Linked DNA regions of Astyanax mexicanus. The protein of the gene in region 2 purifies or fractionates together with the protein of the main gene of each other region. This does not show direct contact. Links are inferred from orthologs where the notes say so. Each region holds a gene or a part of one and is shown on either strand. Other genes may lie near its edges. The genes, in order: rtraf, fam98a, nufip2 and atxn2.

The links.
Region 1: the proteins of fam98a (region 2) and rtraf purify together in Homo sapiens (affinity purification with mass spectrometry; 4 studies listed by BioGRID and IntAct, with this or other methods). This does not show direct contact. The link is inferred for Astyanax mexicanus from reciprocal best matches to the Homo sapiens genes FAM98A and RTRAF.
Region 3: the proteins of fam98a (region 2) and nufip2 purify together in Homo sapiens (co-immunoprecipitation; 3 studies listed by BioGRID and IntAct, with this or other methods). This does not show direct contact. The link is inferred for Astyanax mexicanus from reciprocal best matches to the Homo sapiens genes FAM98A and NUFIP2.
Region 4: the proteins of fam98a (region 2) and atxn2 purify together in Homo sapiens (co-immunoprecipitation; 3 studies listed by BioGRID and IntAct, counting the BioPlex papers as one, with this or other methods). This does not show direct contact. The link is inferred for Astyanax mexicanus from reciprocal best matches to the Homo sapiens genes FAM98A and ATXN2.

Annotation. Positions count from the first base shown.
Region 1 is NC_064421.1:2,872,799-2,879,751, forward strand, and holds the start of rtraf (RNA transcription, translation and transport factor protein), read left to right. Parts: upstream 1-3,925; 5' UTR 3,926-4,045; coding exon 4,046-4,106; intron 4,107-5,081; coding exon 5,082-5,206; intron 5,207-5,533; coding exon 5,534-5,633; intron 5,634-6,953. Other genes in the region: uncharacterized protein si:ch211-266o15.1, read right to left, coding at 1,684-1,748. UniProt on the Homo sapiens protein: RNA-binding protein involved in modulation of mRNA transcription by Polymerase II. Component of the tRNA-splicing ligase complex and is required for tRNA ligation.
Region 2 is NC_064421.1:33,954,814-33,962,718, forward strand, and holds the start of fam98a (protein FAM98A), read right to left. Parts: upstream 3,010-7,905; 5' UTR 2,886-3,009; coding exon 2,848-2,885; intron 743-2,847; coding exon 594-742; intron 1-593. Other genes in the region: si:ch211-195b21.5 (zinc finger protein 318), read left to right, coding at 5,971-6,192, 6,928-7,013. UniProt on the Homo sapiens protein: Positively stimulates PRMT1-induced protein arginine methylation. Involved in skeletal homeostasis. Positively regulates lysosome peripheral distribution and ruffled border formation in osteoclasts.
Region 3 is NC_064425.1:29,145,964-29,153,031, forward strand, and holds the start of nufip2 (nuclear fragile X mental retardation-interacting protein 2), read right to left. Parts: upstream 3,029-7,068; 5' UTR 2,912-3,028; coding exon 2,764-2,911; intron 1-2,763. UniProt on the Homo sapiens protein: Binds RNA.
Region 4 is NC_064429.1:14,080,397-14,087,382, reverse strand, and holds the start of atxn2 (ataxin-2), read right to left. Parts: upstream 3,014-6,986; 5' UTR 2,492-3,013; coding exon 2,388-2,491; intron 1-2,387. UniProt on the Homo sapiens protein: Involved in EGFR trafficking, acting as negative regulator of endocytic EGFR internalization at the plasma membrane.

The DNA.
Region 1 (6,953 bases), about 31 Mb from region 2:
ACAGTTGGCCCTGCTCTCTCTGGGTGGGTACAGTAGATGGCACTCTTTCCCCCTCATCACTCCAAGAGTGATGTGGATCAGCACAAGGCTGCGTCTGTGAGCTGATGTATCAGAACCGAGTCACTGTGCTTTCCTCCGAGCGTTAGCGCTGTGATGCTACTCGGCGATGCTGCATCAGCAACAGTTCAAAAACAGGAGGAGTCTGACTTCACATGTATCGGAAGAGGCATGTACTAGTCTTCTTAACCCTCCCCCTGGTGTTGGGGCATCACTAGTGATAGGGGATATACAGCTGAGTAGCAGCTAAATGGGTGGGACAATTGGTCTGATAAATTGGGAAAAAATGGGGAACAATAAAAAACAAAAAAAAACTGAGATATCAATTGTGTAGTCTACTTCTAATTAATATAAATGTACATAATGCTACATGTTGCATGTTTTTTTCAAGAATCTGCATTTTGTCTGCTTTTCACAACATTGTAATAAACATTTTATATCACAATATATATATTATATATTTATCATATATATATATATCATATATATATTATCTCCCAGCCCTAGTTATTCACCTTAGAATTTTATTTTAACTTATGAATCTGTAGTTATTCTCAAATTAAGTAATGATAAATGAAAAGCTTAGTTTTGTCTGTAATTTTATAGTAATGAAAAGATTTTGTCTGTGTCAAAACATTGCAATAAACATTTTATATCACAATATATAAATATATATTATACATTAACCATATTCCCCAGCCCTAGTTATTTATCTTAGATTTTTATTTTAACTTATGAATCTGGAGTTATTCACAAATTAAGTAATTTTAACCATAAATGAAAAGCCTAGTTTGGGCTTTTATTTTAGGTTAAAAAAAATTGTCTGGGTGTCAAATCAATGTTATAAACATTGTATAATGTAAAAACGTCTTTAAATATCAGTATATAGATTATATATTTACCATATCTCCCACCTTTAGTTATTAGAGGAATATGATCAAGTTAAAAAATAGGCTTTACATTTATGATTCAAACTACTAATATAATAAATAATAATAAACATCAGAACATAACTATAACATGTCTAACGTAGAGTTTCAGTTCTATAATACATATATTCACCAGCATAAAATAATCACTATATAATATATATTTAGCATATATATATATAATCTCCCAGCTATAGTTATTAGAGTAATATTATCAAGTTCCAAAAAAAATTGTTACCAAAAATAAAAGCCAAAAATAGGCTTTTTATTCGTTTTATTTACGATTCAAACTACTATAATAAATAATAATACATATCAGAACATACCCAACATAGAGTTTCAGTTCTATAATCAATATATGTATATACATCAGCATAAATTTACAGCAGTAAACTGCAGTAAAAACAATAACTTTAGATAAATGAATGTGAATAGAGCTCTGGAAGAATAAAAAATGTCAGTATTAATATTATACAGCTACATATAGTACATTTATAACTAGAGATTGGAACTCCAGATCCAGCTAGTAATAATCCAGACCAGGATTTTGCTGCGCTGCCCGGGCGGATCTGTGTATTGCGGAGCTGCAGCAGAGCCGCCCACGCGGTTAGAAGAAAATCCCGGCATGGATATTTACAGTGTGGGCCTGGATTACCTATCTAACCAAAACGGACCATTTTAGTCAGCACAGACTTACCGGAAAAACTGCAGATTACTCTCCGCAGAGTATCTGTTAACGCAGCCCAGAGCAGAGCACGACATGACTGCCCAAACCTCCAAATTACAGCTAATAAATAATAATAATAATCTAGTTTTATCAGCTAACTAATAAAGTTAGGTTAATAAACACAGAGAGCTAAAGGATTCTGCGGGCGGCCCGGTCCAAACAAAAGGCTACAAATATCACTCAAAATCCGCATTTAGCACATAATAGCGGATAAATACATGTAACATATAATAAGTAATTATTTCTAAAATTATAAATAAATTAGTAAATATAAATAGGCGTATTAGCTAGCTAACTATAGTTGACTGCTGCGAGCTAGCTTAGCTAAGCTATTTTTTTTTTGTTCAGTTAAACCTTTATTTTGAAAAAAGTTTTTTTTAATGCCGACCGGAATTTGGCTCTAGTTAGATTCTTTTTTTTATTTTATTACCAACTTAATATGGAAATATAGCGACAAAAAAGACAGGGATCATAAATAAGTACATACAAACGAAGGCTACAGAGTAAATAATAAATAAAAGAATGGAGCACAAGTTAAAATATAAAAGTATTTTTAATACAACATTTTCTTTTTAATAATAATAATAATAATAATAATAATAATAATAATAATAATAATAATAATAATACATTATTATTATTATTATTATATTTATTATTATCATTATTCACTGAATATGTAAATATACAAACAAGTCAGGGAGCATAAGTGTACAAGGACTGTGATATTAAAATTTAAATAAATATTTTTTTATCATCTTTCTATTCTTTTTAAACCCAAATCATGTGTAAACAGAGTGAAAGAGAGTGTTATTATTTATTCCCATTTACAACAATGTATATATATATATATATATATATATATATATATATATATATATATATATATATATATATATATGATATTTACTCAAAATAATAACCAGACTAACTAAATTTAAAGCTGGTCAATTACTTGAATTTCTTGCCTCTTAATATGTTTGAGACATAGACTGTATGTAAGCATGGACATTTATTTACGTTTTTTTATTTTTTACTTCCGTTTCACCCTTTTTTTCTTTTATTTGTTAGCAACATACATATCAAAACAATATACAATAATACAAACTCTTGTAGAGGATATCAGCTACAATTCAGAAGCTAGGGGGAGCATACACAAACATACAGAATAGACGAGCAAGGTAATAAAATGATAATCTTAGAACAAAAGGTTACTAGAGATCTTACGCCGTTTTGAAGCCAAAATATGGCCGATATGGAAGCTGCCATCTTGCGTGCGCTTGCGCAGTACAGGCAAATTGGAGCCAGACCTGTGGGGGGCGGGGCCATGTGACTGCCCAAACTCCGCCATCCCCTTTTTTATTTTTTTGTTTCACAGTCATTTTCACCAAAAAAGTTACTTAACTCAGCTAACCTGAGTTGGTTAACCCAATTAACTATTTATATATATTTATATAGTAGTTTACTCCCTACAGTTAGGGAGAAGAACAAAGTATGAATACTAATAAATTAATGGAGGGAAATGATCCACTTACCGAAAGAACTGCAGAGAATGTTTCTCTGAGGGTCTGTTACTACAGTTAACTGCTGAACATGCCATTGCTTTACTTTAGAAATGTAGTTTTTAACAGTAAAATCCGAATGTGAGAAAGATCTGACTGTGAGCTCCGCGACAGTGGCGGTGCGCGTTCACGCTCTCAGGCGACCTGTCAATCAAATTGCCCTCAGCTTGCCCTCCCCCTATCGCCACACCCCTTTAAATATAACGGAATAGCTCCTATAAAACGTATTAACTGTATAGAAAAACACTGGTGGTTATTAACACAGGAGGGGGGCTTGCAGAATGTACAGAACCCAACTAACAAAAAAAAATCCTGGATGTAAAATTACATTAATTTTAGATAAAGATTCCTCCATCTCTCATTCAGTTGAATGGAAATAGGCGGGGTTAAAAGTTGTACTGGAGCCAGCCACCAGAGGGCGCACTTTTCAACCCCTAAAAGAGAGATAAAAGCACCTAAATGCTTTTTCACAGAGTATTTTGGTATGTTTAATACTTTTAAGTTACTACACATTTTTATGTGTTCCTTCATAGTCTGGATCACTATTCATTGACTATGTATGAAATAAAATAAAAAAAAACACTTAATAAGAAGGTGTGTCCATGTTTTTATTTGAACTTTTATTTTGAAAATCATTTCCACGCCGACCGGAAGTTGGCTCTTGTTAGTGAATGTACTGTGTCAGTGCTGGATCTGGAGCAGCTCGTGCTGAGTATAAATATTAAATCACTGTTTTGAATTAAATCTGTGACTTTTTGTGAAGCAGCAGAATGTTCCGCAGGAAGCTCACGGCTTTAGACTATCATAATCCTGAGGGGTTTGACTGTAAAGGTGAGTCTTTTATTTCTATAATAAAAGCAGGGAACCGAGCCAGGAACGTGGAGACAGAGCTCAGAAATTACAAAATATAAAATAAAAAAATAGGGTTTATAAAAAACTGTCCAATTAGATAATATCCTATTATCCTGTTTTATTAATAAAAATATATTAATTTTAGGTTAAGCTATACATGTAGTGTGATTAGTTTTGTTGTCTGGGGTTAGGGCTGTATCTGGTATTGTAGGCCAGACAGACAGATATATAAAAATAACCTCACTGTATTAATATTATAGATATAGTTCTGGAAAACTATGCTTTGCTATTTATAGGTTTATGTTTGAGTAAAATGAACATTGTTGTTTTATTCTATAAACTACAGACAACATTTCTCCCAAATTCCAAATAAAAATATTGTCATTTAGAGCATTTATTTACAGAAAATGAGAAATGGCTGAAATAACAAACAAAAAAAGATGGAGAGCTTTCAGACCTCAAATAATGCAAAGAAAACAAGTTCATATTCATAATCCTGTTTTTAATCACATTTTTCATGCATCTTTGCATCATGTTCTCCTCCACCAGTTTTACACACTGCTTTTGGGTAACTTTATGCCTTTACTCCTGGTGCACAAATTCAATAAAATTTGGCAAAATCAAAGAAACTAAACTCCAGAGTGTGTGTATATATATATTGCTGTATAACTACCAGAGCAATCATACTGTACCAGTCTAAAGTATTTTTGTTTACTGAATAATTATGTGTTCCTTTATAGCTTTAATACAGTTTTTAAAAATTAAGAAAGATGTCAGACTTTTATTAATTTAAGAAAGTAAGAAAACACACTGAATGAGAGGTGGTGTGTACAAACGTTTCACCGTTACTGTGTAAAACATTGTTATTTATATTCATACAGTTAATTATTTAATGTGTGCTTTATTAATTTACCAGTTTGCTTACTTGTTGTTGGTTTTTCTCGTTTTCTCCAGATGAAACTGAGTTCAGGAATTTCATTGTTTGGCTGGAGGATCAGAAAATCAGACATTATAAAATCGAGGATCGCGGAAACCTGAGAAACATCCCGAGCTCTGAGTGGCCCAAGTACTATGAAAAGGTTATTTTTAAAGTCATACTTGAGTAAAAGTTTTTTTTCCTTTGTGCAAAATTTTAACAATAAATTAACAATATAAAGAGTAACTGGCGGATTAAAATAAATATCATAAAGTATAAAAAAAAAAAAGTAAATATATATAAATGCCAGTAATTGATTGAATGAAATTTAGTACGTACATGCACATCTTTGAGGTAATTCCTGTCGTTGCCTCACAATATAAAACAGTGATGTGGGTTGTTAATATTGTATTAATGGAAATGCAGCACTAAATAAATCAGGATGTCTAACAGCTTTATTTTAATCTTTAATATGTTTATTTTTCTGCAGTATCTGCAGGACGTGAACTGTCCCTTCAGTGCCCCGGAGAGGCAGGAGGCAGTGGACTGGTTGCTGGGTCTGGCTGTTCGGTTTGAATATGGTGATAACGGTACGAATCTCTAATAACGTGCTTTTTATTATTTTATTTTATTTATTATCATCACCAATCACCAATCATTCAACAGACACCTTCTAACCGCCTGTGCACAGATAGCCAGACAAATGGATTTATATTTAAACAAACAGACAGACAGCTGGGCAGACAGATTGTTAAACAGACACACAGTTTGTCAGATTGCTGGGTAGACAGACAGTTTGCTAGACAGACAGATAGGTGTCTTAAATGAATGCTACACACACAGTCAGTCAGTTTTACTGGATAAATAGTTTAATAGTAAGACAGACAGAAAAAAATGCAAGATAGTTAGTTAGACAGACAGAAAGACAAAATGCTAAATAGCCAAACAGACAAATTACTAGAGAGTAAGACAGACAGACAGAGAGATGAAATTCTAGATAGTCAGACAGCTAACAAGACAAATTACTAGACAGCCAGACAGACAAATACTAGATAGTCAGCCAATGAAACGACATGCTAGATAGTGAGACACACAGATTAATTGCTAGATGGACAGACAGGCAGACACATTACTAAATAGATAGACAGACAGATAAATTTCTAGATCGACCGACAGGCAGACAAATTGCTAGATAGTCAGAAAGGCAGACAAATTGCTTGATAGATAGACAGACAGACAGACAAACAAATTTCTAGATAGACAGACAGACATGCAGACAAATTGCTAGATAGTCAGACAGACAAATTGCTAGATAGTCAGACAGACAGACAGACAAATTGCTAGATAGTCAGACAGACAGACAAATTGCTAGATAGTCAGACAGACAGACAGACAAATTGCTAGATAGTCAGACAGTAAGATGAAATGCTAGATAGTCAGACAGACAGACAGACAGAAAGGCAACATGCTAGATAGTGAGACACAGATAAATTGCTAGACAGACAATTAGTTACATGGAAAGGTGATTTGGTCTGTTTGTCTGTGTGTCAGAGAATCACCATAAATATGAATTATGGTGAAAACGTCTTTAAACATTGTGTAATGTTTTTACTCACTGTCCTTCTGAAAGCACCATTGTTTGTATATAACATTTTTAGAATGTAATAAAATTGTGATCTCAGTTTACACAAATTCAGAGCTTTTATTTTATTTAAATGGATGTAAATGTATTTCAGAGAGTTTGAAACTAAATAGAGCTGAATGGCTCTGGCTTTGCATTAGCTTGCAAAATCTATAGTAGTGAGGACTGAGAAGACATTGATTGGTTGGATCACTAGATGGCAGTGTTGTTTTAGATATTGAGTCCCATGACTTTTGCCATGTCCCATTGAAGCTGAATGATGCACTGA
Region 2 (7,905 bases):
TCATGTTGATGCCATACAGATTCATGTCAAAAATCCCGAACTATCCCTTTAAGCAGCGTTTACAGTTCCCTGAAGCATTGTTAGTGTGTTAGTACAGAAAAAGATGCCATTAATCAATTAAATTATATCTGCAAGACTTGGTGCCCAACTGTAGTGAGCTATAGGCAAACAGCGCACTGTGCAGCTTGATTTAGGGCAAGTCAAAGTGTCTTTGCTCTCATAACAACGGGAAAAGTATGCCTTGCATGGCTCAAAAAGCGCAAAAGGCATGAACTAGTTCTTTTTATTAATCACGGGTGTTTTTTGAGCATAATGCGAAATAAACCCATCAGTGTGTCACTTGCCATTCCCTTTAAGAGCCAGGTGCGCTCTGACTTTGGTGGATTGCTATTTTAATGGAGCAGTGCTTTTGCACTTCTTAGCTTAGGAAATGGAACTTTACTGGTACAGCAATTTATTTTATTGTGTATTCTGTTTATTGCTGATGTATCTTACACAGGGTGCAGGATATTTTGTGAAAACGATTTCCAAAAATGTTGGTGATATCATTGTGTACGATACAATACAGCACACCCCTAATATCAATGACTCACAGTTGGTGGCGTGCACATTCTCCTCCAGCCTGCAGTAGAGTTTGAGCTCAGAGACGAGCCAGGCACACAGCTTAGTAAACTCGGGTGAAGCAGCTCCACCACTAAGGGCCATTTGCAGAGAGCCATCTTCCAACAGGGGACCCTGATACCTGCAAAGAAACAAAGGCAAACTTTTAGATACTAGTGCAAAATTAAATTTTATTGAAAAGTTACTTTATTTCAGTAGTTCAGTTCAAAATGAACGAAATTCGTATTAAATAAATGTATTACACACAGAGTGATTTACTTTAAGTGTTTATTTATTTTATTATGCTTGATAAGGGCTTAGTGATCACAGATAGAGAAACACTTTTAAAATACTTTTGAACACAAAAGCATTCCATCTGTGGCTTCTGCCTTTATAGGTGCAGTACGAACACACACACAAACATCAGCAAACACACACCCACAATGACTCATAATGAACATTAGGACTGCAACTAATGATTAATGACTGGTAGTCGACTAACTTGATTATTAATTTTCAGATTAATTATTTTCTACCATGAGCTTCACAGCTTTAAAATGAAAGAAACAGCTGAACATAGGATTTACAATACCATTCAAACGCAAAGGAGATGTTTAAATGTGATGCGTTCTGATATTTAGTGAGTAGATATGTAATCTGCTGCGTTTGGGCACTTTTGTAAACTAGAGGTGTCTAGATTACTAGGGGTGCACGATGGTATCAGAATTACATCGACATTTGGCCAGTATTGCCAATATTTTATATGTTCTGGAAAAGTACAAAGTCCAGCTGAGAGTGGTACTAATACTGTCAGACACTGGCCGTGCAACTTTAAAATTAATACGAGGCTGAAGTTAAGAATGAATGAATTACACTAGAACAGCAAATTCATGTAAGTAAAACTAGGTAAGATGTGGAAGATTGTGTATATAAGATTACATTTAATAACTTAAATGTAAGTAACTTAATGTAATCTTATGTACATGAAAAAGTCCTTCAAAATCACACTGGAACATCAGCTACATGTTTATATATATATATATATATATATATATATATATATATATATATATATATATATATATATATACATATATATATATATATACATATATATATATACATATACATATATATATATATATATATATATATACATATATATATATATATACATATATATATACATACATATATACATATATACATATATATATATATACATATACATATATATACATATACATATATATACATATACATATATACATATATACATATATATATATATATATATATATATATATATATATATATATATATATATATATATATATATATATATATATATATCGTTAAGCTACATTGCCCCAATTTTACAACATAAATTCAGCTCGGGGCAGGCTAATACTTGGTTTTCCTTAAAGTAGGAGAAAATAACTCTATTTAGCATATTTCCTACTTAAGAATGAATGACTTACACTAGAATTACACTAGAACAGCAAATTTATGTTGTAAGTAAAACTGGACAAAATAAGTGGTGGAACTTTAAGTATATAAGATTACATTAGATAACATTGTATATTTAGCTGTACATCGTTCCTTTATTATATCTCCTTAAGTCTGTGAGGTGTTTAATATAAGTTAATCTGAGCAGCAGTTTGTTTGAACATCCACTTTTAAATTAAATTAATTGATATTAATCTCATTTAGGATTAATTTTATTAGATAATTAGTTTATTATTTTTATTAATATAATAAATGTATAATATCGGATATTGGTATCAGCCCAGAATTCCCACATCGGTTCCTCCCTATTTATAGCAGTCAGTCAGTCCTTCAGTTTCGCGTTTCGAGTTTCAGTCCACCTTAAATTCTGCAACACTCCCATGCAGTCACATGAAGCTCCACACTGTAACAGCTGCGCATTTTAAGGTGGACTGGAGAATTAAGCATAGCTAGCCAACTTTAGCTTCAGCAAAACTATAAAAATACAATTATTTAAACGCTGTTAAAGCCTAAATCTCCCGCCGGAGCGTTTTACAGGTGTTTATTTAATAAAAACATTCTAAACCCCGCACTAACACATAGCGAATCTTCCAGAAAACCGGTAAAACCGAGCTGATCTGCAGGAGTTAGCTCAGCACGCTGGACGCTAACCGGGGCCGCGAGGCTAAATCTGCGACCTGTAGCTGTTAAACCTGAATCCAGTATTAAACCCGGGGCTTATCGGCGCTCCCTGCTCACCCCAGGTCCTCCAGAGAATCCAGAATATCGACTTCCATTCAGTCGAAGCGACGCAGCGCTCCCCAAAAATCACAAACCGCCTCTTTACCGAGACTGACAGGACCGGGCGCCTGGCTGCTGGGTTGGCATAACCGCCAGAGAGCGTATAGAGAGGAGACCACCCATTTAACAGCGTCTTCAGGGAGCTCTATGAACTGGTTCTTATGGGACAACTCAGCAAAATCAGTTTGTAAATGTTTAATCTGTTTTTAAATACAGAATCAACAAATGTTCAAAAGCATGGTTACTGAGTACGACGCAGTTTTTTAAAGAATAAAATCGTAATATTACGAGTATATAGTATATTAATATTACATTTTGAGAAAAAGTAGCAATGTTAGGAGAATATTACGAGATTAAAGTCGTAATATTACAAGAATAAAGTCATAATATTAGGATATCAATATTTTTAAATTAAAGTTATAATATTTCGATAATAGAGTTGTAATATTACAAGATTAAAGTCGTTACAATAATGAGAACAAAGTTATACTATTTTGAGTTAAAAGTAGGCTAACTACTTTGGGCTGCCAGTTTAAGAAGCACGGACATTCGTTTTACGAAGCTCCACACTGTAACAGCTATGGTGTTTGCTTAGTGGTTGCTATGGTGTTGCTTAGTGATTGCTAACTTGTCTAACATACTTATTAAGCACGGACATTCGTTTTACGAATTTATTCTTGTAAAATTATGACTTTATTCACTGAATCAAATGTTTTTTTTTTTTGTTTTGTTTTTTTTTTAAGTGGCTCTAAAACGCTGTCATAACTAAGCACACAGATTTGTCAACATGATGTTTGATTCAGGGCATCCTTAAAAAAGCACATAGAATAATTATAGATCCTTTCCATCATATTTTCCACATCATATTTTTCAGCTACTCCTTTCAGAGAGACTTACGCTTCTCGAATAGTTTCCCCTTCTTCAGTAAGCTTACTAAATTGTTCTAAATTGTTGAGTATTGTATAACACAGTTGTCTGTATAACCATCCAAGGCTCAGATAAAATCCTTCTTTCATAAATTTCTTGTGAAATACAATAAAAAGTTATTGCTCAGATGAGAAAATCAATAAAAAACAGCTTGTCTGAGCCACACAGCAATGCTACTGGACAGCAGAAAATATGGGTGTTCTAAAACGTTTGGCCGGTAATGTATATGTACAAAAAATAAAAGAGAACTTAACAACATTGATCTAAAAAAAATATGATTAGAGACAGCATGATTTTCCAGTACGTATGTCTTATGTTAAGCAGTGACCAATGTTATTGCACATAAGCTGGCAGTAAATAAATAGTCATTACGAAATGGTAATGAGTAATTTGTAATTAGTATAACCTGTATGTGTGTGTGTGTTTTATTAATTACATAAACCTGCCCAAATCTGGCCTATTATGAAATAATGATGATAGTTCATTTATGTGTATTAAATGAGCCTTTTAAGAATATTCTAGCTGTATCTCCAGCAGCATCAGCTCACCAACCATACAGCTCACAGTAGCAGCAACGCTAGCACCTTTACTTCCAAAATCTCGTATAATATAAAAACATTGAAACATACTACTAACTTTTCTTTGTGTTTATATCGAAAAACTATAGTTATCTTTCTAAAATTAAAGGAATAATGCGGACACGTAGATGCTTACTATTTTAATCTGAGTTTTTAGCCGTTTAGCTTCATTCGCACCCATTCATTCTTGACTAACTCGTGGGCTCCCTCTATCGGTTAACAGTCAGTAGTAGGGACAAAGGAAGTGGCCAGTTTCTCCTTAAACCGGCTCTTTAACCAGGTCCTAATGGTCCTCTTCAGTTGCTAGTCGCCAACATGCCGGTTTTTACAGCCTGAGAAATTTACACTGTTGGAAAAGATCTTTTTGTATGAGACAGAGACTTTGCCTGGATTATTTACATGCAAACCTCTATAAGAAGAGGAGAAGACAACACGCAAAATCGACAAAACAGAGCCTAGCGTCTAGTGGGCAACTTAACAGTCAGCACTCGCCAGCTTGTGCGTTCCACTTTCAGAAAGCAGAGGGCGATAGTAAGTGGGTCAATCCCAAACTGCCCCCTACTCCCTACACCCTACTGCCCTATAGTGAACTTTTTCTTTGTACATACAGCTCTGGAAAAAGGAGGGACAACTTTAGTTTCTGATTCGGTTTCTCTGAATTTGCTATTTATACATATATGTTTGAGTAAAATGAACATTGTTGGTTTGTTCTATAAAGTACGGACAACATTTTTCTCCAAATTCCAATAAAAATATTGTCATTTAGAGCAATGCAAAGAAAAGTTCATATTTTAAGAGTTCAGAAATCAATATTTGGTGGAATAACTCTGGTTTTCATTCACAGTTTTCGTGTATCTTGGCACCTTGCCATGGTGTTGCAAGGTGGTTGCTATGGTATGCCTGGTCGTTGCTATGGTGTTTGCTTAGTGGTTGCTATGGTGTTGCTTAGTGATTGCTAACTTGTCCAACATACTTATTCTTGTTACAAGATACAAAAATGAAGAAAAAAACATAGAAAAATGAAAATAATTAAGAAAACACATCCCACATTTCTTTGCCATATCAAATGGAAAACATGAAATAATTACGTTTTACACTCAACTTTCTATTATAGCATTTAGTCTTAAACAGTACGTAAACAGTAAAATTAAACAAAAATCGTACTCTGACCAAACATAATATTTATTACCATCTGTATCAAATCTCCGTGGCCTTCAGAAACTCTGGTGCACTACAGAGTGCGCGAGGAGTGTGGATTTGGGACGCAGCCCGTGTAGCTGAGTAATTCAGTGCTGTGATCTACATTACCTGCAGGTGAGCAGAATCACAACACAGACTCATTCATTAACACACTCATTAACTTCTTTAAGATAAATTATGGAGCTAAAGTCTGATAGTGGAGTAAAAAGCGCTGCTGGGATAGTTTAGCGTTAGTTTGCTGGTGAGGACTAAATGCCTGAATTAAGTTACAGTGGAGACTTAGCTTAGTTTAGCCTAGCCTAGCGTTAGTTTAGCTGCAGCTAATCTCCCACAGAAACAGCGGAGTGGTTATTTTATCTAGGCGAGCTGTACGGAGATGTATTCCAGACCCCCAAACCCGAACTACCACCGGCCGCCCTTTCACCAGAGACCCCCGTTTCCCCCCGGCGGCGGCGGACAACCTCCCTTTTCAGACCCGTATAACAGGCCGCCGTTCCCCCCACCGTACCGGGGAGCTCCGCCGCGGCCCCCGCCTCCGTACCGGGGATCCGGTCCCGAGAGCTTCAGCGGAGCGGCGACCAGAGACCCGTATTACGAGGTAAAAACATAGATATCTACTTGTATATCTATCTACCTATCTATCTATCTGCTTATATATCTATCTATCCATCTATCTATCTAGCTACAGTATCTCACATACATGAGTGCACCCCTCACGTTTGCAAATATTTTATTATATATTTTTAAGGGACAACACTGAAGATTCAACACTTTGATACAATGTAAACCAGTCAGTGTACAGCTTGTATAACAGTGTTAATTTAAAACTGTTATTTTCCATCTCTTGGGCATGGAGTTCAGTAGAGCTTTTCTGGTGACCACTGGAATCCTCTTACACTTCGGAAAGATGGCAGCACATACGTAGCTGGTGGATGTTATAGACCTTACGCCCCTCCACTAAGCACTGAGCGACACTAAGCATCACCTCAGTTCAGCAAATGTTACCCTGTGAAATCAGGGTACACTGAAAAAAAAATTAATTTTCCCTCATGTTTACATCGACAGAACCTGTACTACTGCACTGGACACCATATAAGTTTGGAGAATTTTGGTTGGAGTTTAGCTTGCAGTTGTGTCTCAGGCAGAATTAAATAGTTGTACATAATTGAAGGTGTGATATGACTAGAAACTGGGTCTTGCCATAAAATGCTCTACCCTGCTGCACTATTAAAAAAAGACAGTGGCTACGTTTAAAAGCATGCTTTTATTAATCTTCATTCTGTTGTGGTTCTCAGCTGCTTACCTCTGTATGTACAAAATGTTGCCTGCCCAGGTACCACCTCCAAACCAGTTCCAGCACAGTCAGCCTCCTCAGGGATGGTCGGTCCAGCAGACGGATCTGCAGAGTCTAGAAGTGAGGTAAGTGAACCTTAACTTACTATAACATACTAGGGCTGGGGCGACGCGTCGACATAATCGACGTCATCGATTACGAAAATACATCGATTTGCATAACGTGCGTCGGCGCGTCGTAAATATGTTAATTAACACGGTAACATAGAAGCATAGAACTATTATTTAATTAAAATGATTTTTAAGAACAGCTAAACACAGTTCTGCAAGTCAAACGCGGAGGAGTTCACGTGCGAGAGAGAGAGAGAGAGAGAGAGACACACACACACACAGAGAGAGAGAGAGACACAGACATAATTCTGCAGCTCCCTCAGTGTTTTCCGCCGTATTTTGCGGCTAGCGCGAGCGCTTACAACTGACACCGCGGACCGCGAGGTGCAGCCGCGCTTGTGCCGAATCCGACTCTCTGCTGAATCTGACTCCCGCTTAGCGGACAGAATCGGCACAACACCCCCGCTGTAGAACTGCGGTAGTGAAAACGGCTACAAAAAAACGCCAGCGGGCATCTAAAGTTTGGGAGCATTTCACGCAAAAGGGCAACAATGTGGTCCTCTGCCATATGTGCAAAAGGAGCACTATAGCGCAAACATCCAGGAGCACTATGTCAACAGGGTCACACAGTAAGTTACCGTTTACATCAGGGTCTCCGCGGGTGTCTTTAAAAAGACTTAAGGCTGTCTACCAAAGGTTTTAAACCTGCCACAGGCAGAAATTATACAGTTTTGGTTTATATTTGTGCATGGCATTTCACAGTTTCCAGAAACAGTAGCATTATTCATAAGTTCAGGTGTTTAGCTAAGCTAGCTGCCTTAAGTTATTTTAGCTAGCGCCGTCGGCGCTGCGGTGTTACACCGTTTTCTGTCACCGTCGGAATTTTGTGACCAGTGCTCACGGTTAT
Region 3 (7,068 bases), on a different chromosome or scaffold from region 2:
AATGATCATTTTGGTAGTCAACTAATCTATTTTTTTTTCTAAATTAGTCGATTATTCAGTGATTATTTCTGCCATGATCGCTACCTCTAAAAAACAAAGAAACAGTTCAACATAAGATATAAAAAGTCACGTATACGTCTTCTGATTCTTCAGCTCACAGATGCCTTGTGCTGATTGACATTACCCTTTAGAGTGATGTGGAGAGAGCACGGCCAATTGTGCCCTCTCGGCTTTGGTAGACAATGGCAAGCTAATTTGTACCAGCAATCTCCTGATCATTGTATCAGGGATTAGCCTGCTGGACCACTCAGAGCCAAAAAAAGACTAATATTTAGTAAGTAAATATGTAATCTGTTGTGTTTGAGCACTTTCAGAGACACAGACTATGTTCATTTCAAACTATGTGAGTGAGCATTTTCCCCTCTCCAATTGCACTTTTGTCTTAATTAATGACATTATATTAAGATTGGCGAACCATGAGTGCCAGTGGGGTCTTTTAATCTAAAAGTAGTTGATGAAGAAAGAGTCTTGTTACAAATCTGACATAAAATAATTTAAGAAATCATGGTAGTTTTACTTTTAATACTTAAGTGCCTTTAAAGGCAAATACTTTTGTACTTTTTACTCAAGTGTAGGTAAAAAAAAAAAAAAAGGACTTCTGCCTTCGTAATATTTTACCTTGGTGTCCGTACTTTACCTCAAGTGAGCCCATGGACTTTCTGTTGCACAGAGGGGTATCAAGCCCCTAATATTGACCTGTGGAGCAGTGAAATGAACTGTGCTCTCTGAAATGCTGAAGCTCTATCCAGTACTTTTGGGCATTGTGTCCACCATTGCCCAAGTGCCCTCATCATCAGTTAGCTGAAAGCCAGCTAACGTTAGTCAGCCAGCCTAATAGATAACAATTTCTAACAAACGTTACATAGGAAGTACTCTGATAATAAAATGAGAGCACTTTATTCATTACACAGCTAAATAGACAGATAGAAATGTAAGCTTACAACAGTTTGGGCATTAGGTCAACTTTCACTCAGCTCCCAGTGCCAAAGACAGCTGAAGTTAGTTAACCTGACGTAGCCAGTTAGCTAAATTGGCTGGATAGCTAGCTTAGCAATCCTAGCAGCAGTTAATAGTCGCACTTCCAAGCTAACAGCAACTGTTCACGCCCCAAACTATTATTTCAACGAAATAACGTAAATTTTTTGACCGACTTTATGTTAACAGAGCTGGTAATATTGTTAAGGTAAGCTAACAAACCCTAAAAACAGGCCTGCTCACATGACTGCAGCGGCCCTGTTTGCTAAGCTAGTTAGCTTTGCTGGTTAGCAAACCGCTAGCTTGCTATAACTAGCTGTCGCTGGCCTTAAAGGTGGGACAGCTGTTTTCTAAGACATTTTGTGTATTAATTATATTTGTATGTGGTTTATTTTTGGTTTATTGAAGAGTTTAGACTAAACATGAAAGTTTTGTGCCTGTTTTTCTTTCTGCCCAACAGCTCACTTCATATATCCAACTAGCTAAAGCTACAGTGAGGTAGCCGAAGCCGGCGTTGTGCCAATTTGTGCAACGTTGTCAAAACGTGCTACGGTAGTGTACAAGTAAAGCTGACTAGCTAACTAAATAAAACAGCTGACCGCTTAGGATATTTCGATAAAAAAGCTGAAAGCATCATATCAGAGAACGTTACCACAAAAAGCTGTTAAAGGCTAAGCTAGCTTGTTAACTAGATCTTTGGGGAGGTATTTGGATGGCCTAAATTACTTTAAATATAACCTAAGATAGATAACTAATTGATGTGAAGATTAGTTTTCGTTTAGATAGCCTTTTACACTTTTGTAACATTCAAACATCGCCAAGGCAGTGAGAAAACTGTAAAATGCACTCGAGGAAAACAGAATCATCATAAAACGATACAGATGAGTATACGCATGCGTAGAATTGCTAAGTAGCACATGTCAATAGGTAGCACAACTCGACACGACACCGAGTTTAGGTTTAGTGATTAAGTTTAGTCTGTTTTAAGTAACATTAATTTTAGAGACAAGTTTATTTATTGTCTTTGCAAGCACACGACTGCTTTTTCAGTAATAGTATTTTGCATGTTTGCATAAAATGTATGAGCCACATAGTTTACCTATACATGCCAGTCAAATCAATACTAAAAATCTAAAAATATTGAGTTTGCGCATGCGTAAAGCTGATAAGTACCACATACCATTGGGTAGCACAACTCAGCAGAACACCGGGTTTAGGTTTGGTGTTGCTGAGGAACGAAGCTAAAGCAATGAGATCGTCAAAATTCACCTTTCTCTTGATACAGATATAAAATATATTGTATTAAAAGTACTTTCCACATTATAACCATCGTGCAGAAATAGATGTGAGGCTGATCAGTGGAGAAATGGCTGTGTTTTGGGCTGAAGCCGGCGCACAAGGTCAATGTCCACACTTTACTAGCCATACAGTTAGATAGCTAGGTTAGCTTGCTATAGGCGGCTATCAAAGCTGCCAAATGTCGACGGCAGTCATCAATCAAACGCCAAAACACAGCTGATCTGACCGTCCCGCCACTCTTACACCAGCACAACACCAAGCAGGAGAGGCTACGTGTCGATATTTGAAGTTTAATGAAGTTATCAGAAGCTGAGAAGAGAGCTAAGCTATTTTAACCCAACAGCCGGCTAACAGGCAGCTAGCTGTGGTGAGATGGACAGCACAGCATTACACTACACTACATTAGCGAGCTAGTTACATTCCACCAACCTGTTTTCTTCGTCTGCGTTTCCTCGTCCTGGAGCTGACAGCAGCTTTGATCATTGTTCACCGAGAATTTCGCCCGTCCTGACCCATTCTCTGCTCCAGGACTCAGATATCTCGCAGTCTTCGCCCCCACGCAGGGCCGATCCTCCATTTAAAGAGCGCAGGGAGCGAGTGAGTGAACGCGCCCGGCCGGAGGGGGGGTGGCTGTAGTGCAGCGGGGCAGAAGTGCAGACGCCGCCGATGCCCAATCCAGCTCTGCCTGGGCGGCGTTTCAGCCTCAGAAACACACGCAAATATGTGCAAGACTGTATCAGGAAAACTGCGAAAACTACGGAGAGCCTGCAGTACCAGAAAAGAAAAAATATATATTTAAACACAGTTAATGAATCATATAAAATCATTCTGTCACTTTAGAAATACTTTCCATGACTATATTATATCATTCCACCGGTGTAAAAAAATACTTTACTTAATTTGATACATCGTTCCCTTGATTTGATAAATTGTTCCACTAGTTAAATAAATCATGTCCTTATTCAGTAGCAAATCGTATTCTCATTTTTTATAAGTTTTAAAAGTCTCTTAATAAATCCGTCAATTGCTTTAATCTCAAATTCTTCCTTTATCTTAATAAACAGTTCCTTGAATTAATTTGTTTCCTCAGTTTAAAAATACTCCCTAACTATAAGAAATTATTCCACCAGTGTACAATACACTTTGCTTAATTTAATAAATCATCCCCTCAGTTTGATAAATTATTCCATTCTTTAAATAAATTCTTTCCATGTTTGATATAAAATTTAATAAACGTTTATTAAATTAAGTTTATTAATTCACTTTATTAAAAAATATTCCCTCAGTTTAATAAAGCCTTCACTTTGATTAGATAAATTGTTCTCAGTTTAATATGTATTAATTTGTTAATAAATTATATTAATTTAATAACTTTTTCCCTCAAAATAATAAATTATATGCTTCGTTTAATAAATGGTTCCCTCAGTGGTCTATATTCATTCTTTGATATAATAAATTGTTTCCAGTGTTTATAATTTTTTTGCATAATTAAATAAATCCTATCCAGTAACTTAAATTAAATTGTTTCCTCAGTTTAAAACAATTTCCATACTGCAACTATAATAAAGCATTCAATTAGTGTACAAAATAATTTACTTGATTTAATAAATTGTTACCTCAGTTACATAAATTGTTTCATTCATTAAATACATTCTTTTCCATGATTTAAAAATAATTCCCTCAGTTTTTATTAGTTGTTATCTCAGTTTAATTAATCATTCCCTTGCTTTGATATCAAATTATTCCTTCAGGTTAATAAACTGCTCCTAAAATGTATTAAATCATTTACTCAGTTTAATAAAGCCTTAACACTTTTTAAAAAAGATGCACATCACATGTTGTACATGAGGTGGAATTGAAATTGTAATCTCATGGTGCAGTTCCACTCAAAAAACAATTGTTATGTAAGATAATACAATTAATTAAGAGTAAAATATTAAATGAAGTGTCAGTGCAGTGTGTTGGCTAGGTGGTGTTTAAGAGTCGTACAGCTTCTGGAAAGAAGCTGTTTCTCAGTCTGGTTGTTTTGCAGATTGTTCTTTTCCTGCATCTGGAGGTGTAGATGTCCTTGGTGCTGGAGAGGCTGACTGACAACAGTCTTCTGTGTGGCCTTTACCACCCTCTGCAGAGCTTTCCTGTCTGCAGCAGAGCTGCTTCCATGCCACACGTTGATGCTGGAGCACACATTGCTCTCCCACCACACATCTGTAGAAGGAGGTGAGGACTGCGTTCCCGAGTCCAGCTTGTCTCAGCCTCCTGAGGAAGTTGAGCCACTGATGCTGACCTCTTCTGAAGTCCACAATCATCTCCTTCGTCTTCTTTACATTGATGCCGAGGTTGTTCTCTCTGCACCAACCTTCAGGTGTGCCTCGATATGACACAATAAGACAGCATGGATGGAGAGGTGAGCAGTCATATGTGAGCAGTGTGAACAGGAGGGGACTCAACACGCAGCCCTGAGGGGAGCCAGCGCTGAGGATCATGATGAGGGAGGAGATGTTGTGAATCCTTACAGACTGCAGCCTGTTGGTCAGGAAGTCTAGGACCCAGTTTCAGAGGGAAGTGCTCAGATCATGTGAGGAGAATTTATTGATCAGTCTGAGCAATCATTTTGTTGAAAGTGGATGTAAAGTCCACAAACAGTATACGGACATAGGAATCCTTCTGCTCCAGGTGGGTGAGGGCAATGTGGACCACGGAGGAAAAGGCATCCTCTGTGGATCAATTCTTCCTGGAAGCATATTGGCTTCCAAGATATCCCTATAGGAAACGATCCCTAGTGTCATTGATTGTGTCTTTGATGTGGGTCTGAATCGTTTTTTCAAAGCACTTTGTGAATATCGGCGTAAGGACTATTGGCCGGTAATCATTCAGACCTGTCACTGCGGAGCTCTTGGGGAGCTGGATGATGGTGGCAGTCTTCAGGCAAGTGGGGACAGCTGCCTGGATGAGGGAGACATTAAAAATGTCCGCCAGAACCTCTGAGAGCTGATCCCTTAGCACCCGTCTGGGGACGTTGTCCGGTCCAGCAGCCAATATTCTGCACTGTTAGCCTGGATAAGTTGAATTTACTTAAAGAATTGAGGAATGGGGTACGAAAACTTGAGTTAACTAAGCATAAACTAAAACTTCAAGTTATTACAACGAAAGAGGAAGTTGATTTATTTCTAAGGTAGCCCAGGGGGAATCACTACACACTGATGGTGAGTGTCAGAAACTGTTGGACACACCCAGTATGCAAATAGATGTGACAAAGTTGAATGTATATGTGCCGCAAAATAGTTGAGTATTGTTTAGAAATATTCAATTTTTTGTAAAATAGACTTAAATAATTTGAGTTTAAACAACGTATAGGTTTACAGTGTATATTCTATATATATATATATATATATAAATATATATATATATATATATATATATATATATATATACATATATATATATATATATATATATATATATATATATATATATATATATATATATATATTCTATATTCTTTCTTTGAAATATTAAATAATTCCCAGAGTTTAATGAATTAATTTCTTAATTAAATCCTATCCCCAATTTAGTACCACACAAGTCCATAGGTTTAATCAGTTGTTCCCTCAATTTAATAAATCATTCTGTAGGTTAAAGCTGGTGTCCATAAGTTTTGGGATTTAGGGCCCTCTCTGGTGAGAATGGGTAATTACACTGAGCATGCGGAAGAATCATTTTAAAATAGACAGCTGTGATGCGATCTTTTAAACAAATTATTCTGTCACTTTTTCCACTCAGTAATGCTTCTGCTTTCAGTTTAGAATCAAAATAATACGAACTGCCACTTTAAATCGTCCAATCATATTTTTTATGTAATATATTGTTTCCTCATTTTTACAGATGGACTGTGAATGAATATGACGTGATGTTTAGAATATTTCGAGTTTATTACTAAATTCATTACTAAACATTACAGTATTAAATTAAAAAGAGACTACAAAAAACTTATTTTCACAATTGTTTGTTTACTGCTACTGTAGATTTTATTTTTCTTCCATGTTTTTGTATGAACTCATTTTGAAATGGAGCTTCAAGACTCAAGTCTTTTTAAAATAACAACAGATTTTGTTACTTTTGCACTAAATTATTTTACCGATTTTTAGTTAGAATCGCTAAACATTTGTCACCTAGATTATCCAGGTGATCAAATCAGCTGCATCTGACAAAAATGAAAAATTGGGTAAATAATAATAGCAATGTATTATCTTTTGCTTCCATTTTTGTATGGTGTCAATATTTTATTAAGGTGAAAATAACATAGTGTGGCCACAAGACAATATATTTAAACCAAAATATACTATATTGAGGCCACACAATAATATATTTAGGCCATATTTTGCGTTGATATACAGAGACCAGAAGATAATATATATGTGTATATTAGGACCATGATATAATTTATACAGGCCATTTGATTATGTATTAGGGGTAGAGGCTAATATATTAAGTATAATTCATTATATATTAAGTATAATTAATTATATATTCAGTATAAATAATTTAGGCCACAAGATGCACTGTGGCCATGAGATAATATATCGAGGTCACAATATATTATAAATTGAGACCATGGAAAATATGTAGAGGCCATAAAATGATACGTTAAGTCAATTAAATAAATAATAGAGGCCACAAATTAGTATGTTGAGGGCATATTTTGTGGCCACTCTGTGCCAAAACTTATCTCCAAGA
Region 4 (6,986 bases), on a different chromosome or scaffold from region 2:
CAAATAATTTTCATCATCTTAAAAAACACATAAACCACTGCAGATTTCTGAGTTTCTGAATACCACCAACAGTGCAACTGTCTTACTCAGTTACCACCTTCAAACAAATGAACATTTAAATTTATGATTTAGAAATTAAATATTTAAATTACCATATTACTGTGACAAGAATCATTTTTAAACTACATGGTAACTTATGGTACTTATGGTAAATTATTAGCACTTCTCTTAACACTTCGATAAAGGGAGATTTTTACATTACTAATTCCCAAATTAATAAATTAGGCACAAATTAGTATTTTTAAACCTTTACACAGAGACACAAGTAAACTTTTTCATGTCAGTGTTACCTCAAAAGCACTTGATAGGTATTTCAGCAGAGGAGTCACAGAAAATGCTGAAAGTTGCATTCTGCACCCTTCATTCCTTAATAAGGAATGAGTTAAGGGTTATGTAGCCATATACACAGTGCCCCACAGTGAAGTGTCACTTATTATATAGAGAGGACTTTAACCCATTACATGAAGATTTTAACCAAAAAAAACTTTAATAAAAGGTTACGTTATATATCATTCTGGTTAACTGTGAATCCTGAAGGTGCTGCAAGGTTCTCATCATACACACACACACAAATTGCTAGGCCAAAACAACACAATGGTTTAGTAAATCATAACATAGTCAGATACCTTCTGATCTGTATTAGTTTACTTATGTTATTAACTAATATTATACTAACAGGCACCCCACATATCCTGGGACTAGCATATGCATACTTGTATTAGATCTATGACGTTCACAAATCTTGGAGCACTCTTGGAGCAATCAAATAAATGACAGATGAGCCTGACTGTGAGAGCATCCTGATTGGTCTTCTCATGTGCTTATTAGGCAAGATTTACATCCTGATAGGTCTCCTAAGTTTAAAAACAAATCAATCAGTGTTATCCTCATCAAAAATAGATGTTGAGGGACACATAATAAATTTTCATAAAGCAGAAAAGAAAACAAAAGGATTTAAATCAATTACAAAAATGACAACTGTATTTACCAGCTGCACCTACTGACATGAAGCTTGTTCACATGGAATGTGGCAAGAAAAGCCATTAGCTCACAGACACACTGCGCTGACTTGACACTTTTTTTCATCAAACTTAAAATCCATGCCTGCCGAACCTGCAGCAAAGCAGAACCCTGTACAAATTACCCAGCCACAGAACAAGCAACATCTACACTGTACCAGACAATAAACTACAGCAAGCCATTTTAGCTTAAAATCACACCAAATTCAAACGCAAACTCAAAGGTTTAGTCATGTTACCAAAATGACATTTACTTTATTTTGACTAGTCATATACTACACTTGATTTACATGTAATCTCACTCCCTCTTATCCATTACTACATTTTTACTAGTAAATATTTCAATTGCCGATATCTACAAAACATCTATAAGTACAATTTATTACTACAAAATGTAATTCAAATTATAATGTGATCGAGTCTCATTACTTTGAGATACATCATTTTTTTATGTTTATAAAAACCTTATTTGATATACTAAATCATTATTTTAGATTCTTCCTCATTATTATGAGACACTAAGTCGTTTTTAGATGCTCTCATATTTTTGAGATACTAATTCATATTTCTGTTATGCGATCTTATTGAGACACTATGTTGTTTTTGCGAGAAGCTTTTTCATTATGAGATACCAAATAATTATTTTAACAGACTAAGTCGTTTTTCAGATGATCTAATTAAAAAACAACTAAATCATTATTTGTGATACTAAATAATTACTAGGAGATACTAAATCATTATTTTGAGATACTAAATAATTACTTAAAGATACTAAACCATTTTGTTAAGGTTCTAAATCAGTTTGTGAGATACCAAATCATTATCTAGAGGTAATAGTAGATTTAACAGAAGTTATGTGAAGGAGAATGAAAACAAAACACAGACCGTATCTACAAATATTGAAATGAAATCTCAATAACGGCTATGCAGTTGAATTAATAATGAATAATAATTAGGTGGCAGATTATTTCAGTGGCTAGTTAGTTAGTTAGTTAATTGGATGGATGTGTACAGCTAACTACAGTGGGTGCAGCACATTTTAGTAGGCGAGTGTGTGAACCCCCGTCCCGCTGTCTAAACCCGGCCTAATAAACACCTCTCTGTCCTGCCCGTGCCTGGCTCACTCCGGCCTATAACCCCACTACCAGCAGCTAAGCTAGCCCGCTAACAGCGCTTTCTCGGCCGCTGAACAGCGGAGTACCGCGGGCTGCAGTGTTTTAACACCACGCTGAGGGCTGTAAGTGTGTGTGAGGGTCGCGGTGTTCATGTATTCAGAACTGTCACACAGAAACGCAGGCTGTCACCCACCTTCCCAAACTCTGCCGTCCGAAGCCCGCAGCTCCGGAGGCCGCAGCAGCCCCGCTGTTGATCCCGCCGGGTTTGCGATTACCACCGGCCTGCTTCATTGACATGGTTATCCCATAAACGACAGCTTTAAGCGGAGTTTTCTAGCTTTAAGTGTTTGGAGGGAAATCTGTCCTACGCGCTGCCGACAACAGCAGAGCACGACACGCTGAAATCCTGCCTGACTTATTGACAGAGGAGCTAACGGCTAACTAGCTTAGCTAACGAATGACAGCTAATGTTAGCCTACTAGCTAACTAGCCTAGCCTAGCCGCACTGAGTCCTTCAGCTACAGCCTCTACTCCAGAGCTAAATCAGCGAGCTTAGCTTAGCTAGCGTGTCTTTTCCTCCTTATAACAGAAACACTGTCTGAAGGAGAGCTTCTGCTGCAGGCTGTTGATTTTCTCCAGCTGTATGCGCTCTGAATTAATGTAGCTTAGCTAGTAAACCCCTCTGAGTCTGTATCTCTGAGCTGTAGTATCGGCTGACACTGAGGCGCCCCGCTGCTCTCAAAGACCTAAACAGTCTGAAAAGACACAAAATGTAGCGGAGGGATACACACATACACACACACACACACACACACACCAGCCGTGCAGTTATCTACTCTTAAAATTCAGATTGACACTGAAGAAACACTTAAAAAATAAGCGCAGTTCCCTCCCCTGAGCCGCAGGTCGTGCTCAGGTTTGCGGGATTTTGTTGTCTTTTCCGAGTTTTGATAGATGTGCGACCAAACGTGGCGCACTATTTTCAGGAAGTTAACAGATCACCGTGGGAGCGGAGCAGAGTAGTGCTGAGGCAGCCACGTGAGCTCAGCCGGCTTCTGAGAGACCCTGAACAGCACTGACACCGATTCATTGACACCGATTCACTGATACTCATTCACTGACACCGATTCACTGACACTCAATCACTGACACCGAATCTCTTTCTCTGATTCACTGACACCGACTCACTGACACCTATTCACTAACACCTTTTTTACTGACACCGATTCACTGACACCGATTTACTCACACTGATTCAGGGACACTGACTCGCTGACACCGATTCACTGACACCGATTCACTGACACCGACTTACTGACACCGACTCACTGACACCGTTTCACTGACACCGACTCTCTGACACCAATTCACTGACACCGACTCACTGACACCGACTCACTGACACCGATTCACTGACACAGACTTACTGACACCGACTCACTGACACCGTTTCACTGATACCGATTCACTGATACCGATTCACTGACACCGACTAACTGACACCGACTCACTGACACCGTTTCACTGATACCGATTCAGTGATACCGACTTACTGACACCGACTCACTGACACCGTTTCACTGATACCGATTCAGTGATACCGATTCACTGACAGCGACTTACTGACACAGACTCACTGATACGATTTACTGACACCGACTCACTGACACCGTTTCACTGACACTGACTCACTGACATGTTTCACTGATACCGATTCACTGATACTGATTCACTGACACCGTTTCACTGATACCGATTTAATGACACCAATTCGCTGACACCGTTTCACTGACACTGACTCACTGATACCGACTCACTGACACCGTTTCACTGACACCGACTCACTGACATCGTTTCACTGATACCGATTCACTGATACTGATTCACTGACACCGTTTCACTGATACCGATTTAATGACACCAATTCGCTGACACGATTCACTGACACCATTTCACTGACACCGTTTCACTGACACCGTTTCACTGACACCGACTCACTGACACCGTTTCACTGACACCGACTCACTGACACCGTTTCACTGATACCGATTTAATGACACCAATTCGCTGACACCGACTCACTGACACCGTTTCACTGACACCGACTCACTGACACCGTTTCACTTACACCGACTCACTGACACCGACTCACTGACACCGTTTCACTGACACCGTTTCACTGATACTGATTTAATGAAACCAATTCGCTGACACTGATTCACTGACACTGTCAGAACTGTCAATCCGATGGGAGATTGATCCAGCCAAAAATAAAACAGAATTGAAAAGAATAAAATGCAAATGCTCTTTTTAACATTCATTTGTCCAAACGTGTGAAAATTAAAAATAACATTAAATAAAACTTATTTGCAATTTAATTATTCACTCAAGCACGGGTAGTCTGTGCTAAAAATAAAATGTAACCCTCTATGTCATGAATTGTATTTTTTAATCATATAATCAATCAAGATATTTTGAAATAAGATATAAAACAAATAAAATAAAAATAAGAATTTAGTAGGAATTTATCAATCATAGGTAAGAAAATCAAAGGTAACAAAAATGAAGGTGGTTTCAGAATAGGAGTTTATTATTTTGTGACACCATTAAGCTAAGCTTTAGTGTTTCCCGTAGTGAATTCCAGCTCGCTGGTGCTGCACTGTAGCTAAAAGCAGATTTTCCCACTTGATCCAGTCACTGGAGCGAGTCTGATAAGTTGTATCATTTTTAATAAGCATTTGTGTGATGTACGGTGGCATTTTTCGTGAGAAAATGTGAACCACTGCTTTATCATGATTAATTTAATAAAAGTGGTCTATTTGCATAACGTTGCCCAACAAAAACACTGTTTAAGTAAGTTTACAACAAGAATGAAAAAAATTATTGCATACATATTTTTTTTGTTTGGCCCACCTGTACGTCTCATTGTATTGGACGTAGATATGTATTGCAACATTGTTTAAAAAAAATTTAAATAAGGCAAAGCGGTGGTGTAATTGATATGGTGTAATAAACAAAAGTTTGGCTTGTTACCTGAGGCAACACTTTGCTGTGGAGGATTAAATAAAAAAGTTAGTGACATTTTATTTTCATTAACATTAATGAACATATTGGTATTTCATGGTCAAATCCAAAATGAAAAGGTTAATAGAAAAACCTCAAACTTTACTTTGGCTTGTTTTTTTTTATGAGTAGCATAATAAATGTCAAAATAAAAATGAAAGTGAAAAGCACCACATATTGCTTATTTACTTGTTGTTTTAGTATATTAAGCCACGTTAAACTTTTTCCTTATGAGAGGTTTCAGTGATAAGAAAACATGTTAAGGCTTTTTACATTAAGCGTTTTAGACCTCCATCCCCTATCAGTATACAGTCATTTCACAACAAATCCACAGAGATCATGATTTCACTAGCTAGCAGTTCCTAATAACACATACTCCATGAACTCCCATATATGAAATGCTGCATCAGGAGGCACTGCCCACTGCTAATTAACATATATTTACATATGCCCAGCTTAAATCAGCACAAGGTGGCGCTTTCCAAGTTTATTTCTTTTTTTGCCACTTGAAGCTGAATCCTAACCTGACGGTTTGCCTTTATTTTTCATCACAGTTGAAAAGAAAAAGATAAGTGCATATTGCATTTTCATTTTGACACTTATTATGTGCTTATAAAGCGAAAGTGAAGTGTTCCTTTTTCTATTCAGCTTTTAATTTTGGATTTCACCATGAAATACAAGTGTGTTAATGAAAATTAAATGTCAACTTTTTTCATTTAATTGAATTTTTGTCTCATACTACCTGTGCTTGAGTGAATAATTACATCTTTTAGGAGCAAAAAATGTAATATTTGGAAGTTCAGGTGTCCCTTTGGATATAGCAAACCTACATTTAGATTTTGACTTTTGATAGCAAGCTAATATTTTGAATCAGATGTTTCAGACTAAGGGAGCACCAAAACATGCAGGGAAGGAGAAAGTCTCCAGAACCAGAGAGTTCATGCCTCATCACCTTACAGAAGTGGTCTAACGGCAAAAGGCAAATTTCTAACAATAATGTATGAATCAGCCAAATATACTTCTTTACATATTCTTGCATACAAACATATTTTTATTTATGACCCACTGATACGCCTCATTGTATTGGACATAGAGATGAATAAATGGATAAGTAAGCAAGCAAGTATTTACATTACATTTGGCAGACGCTTTTGTCCAAAGCGACTTATAATAATGATGTACATAGAGTAATAGAAGTTAAAGGTAAAAAACATCTTTAAATAGGGCCTAAAGAAGGTCAAAGGTAAATAATGGGATAGAGGAGTGAAGGAGGGGAAGAAGGAAATGAGGTTAGAAGTAGTTAGTGTGTTAGAGGTGTTAAGAGAGTAAGTGCTCTTTGAAGAGCTCAGTCTTCAGGAGTTTATTAAAGATAGCGAGAGATTCTCCTGATCTGGTAGTAGAAGGTAGTTAGTTAGAGGTGTTAGGGGAGTAAGTGCTCTTTGAAGAGCTCTGTCTTCAGGAGTTTATTAAAGATAGTGAGAGATTCTCCTGATCTGGTAGTGGAAGGTAGTTTGTTCCACCATTTGGGGAACTCTGTATGAGAACAGTCTGGATTGCTTTGTGTGAAAGTTTGTTTGGTAAAGCGAGGCGACGTTCATTGGAGGAGCGCAGCGGCCGGGAGGTAGCGTAAGCCTTCAGGAGTGAGTGCAGGTAGGAAGGAGCTGTTCAGTCATCAACTTTTAGGCGATTGTAAGATGTAAGTTAGTTAGTTAGTTAATTAATTAATGGG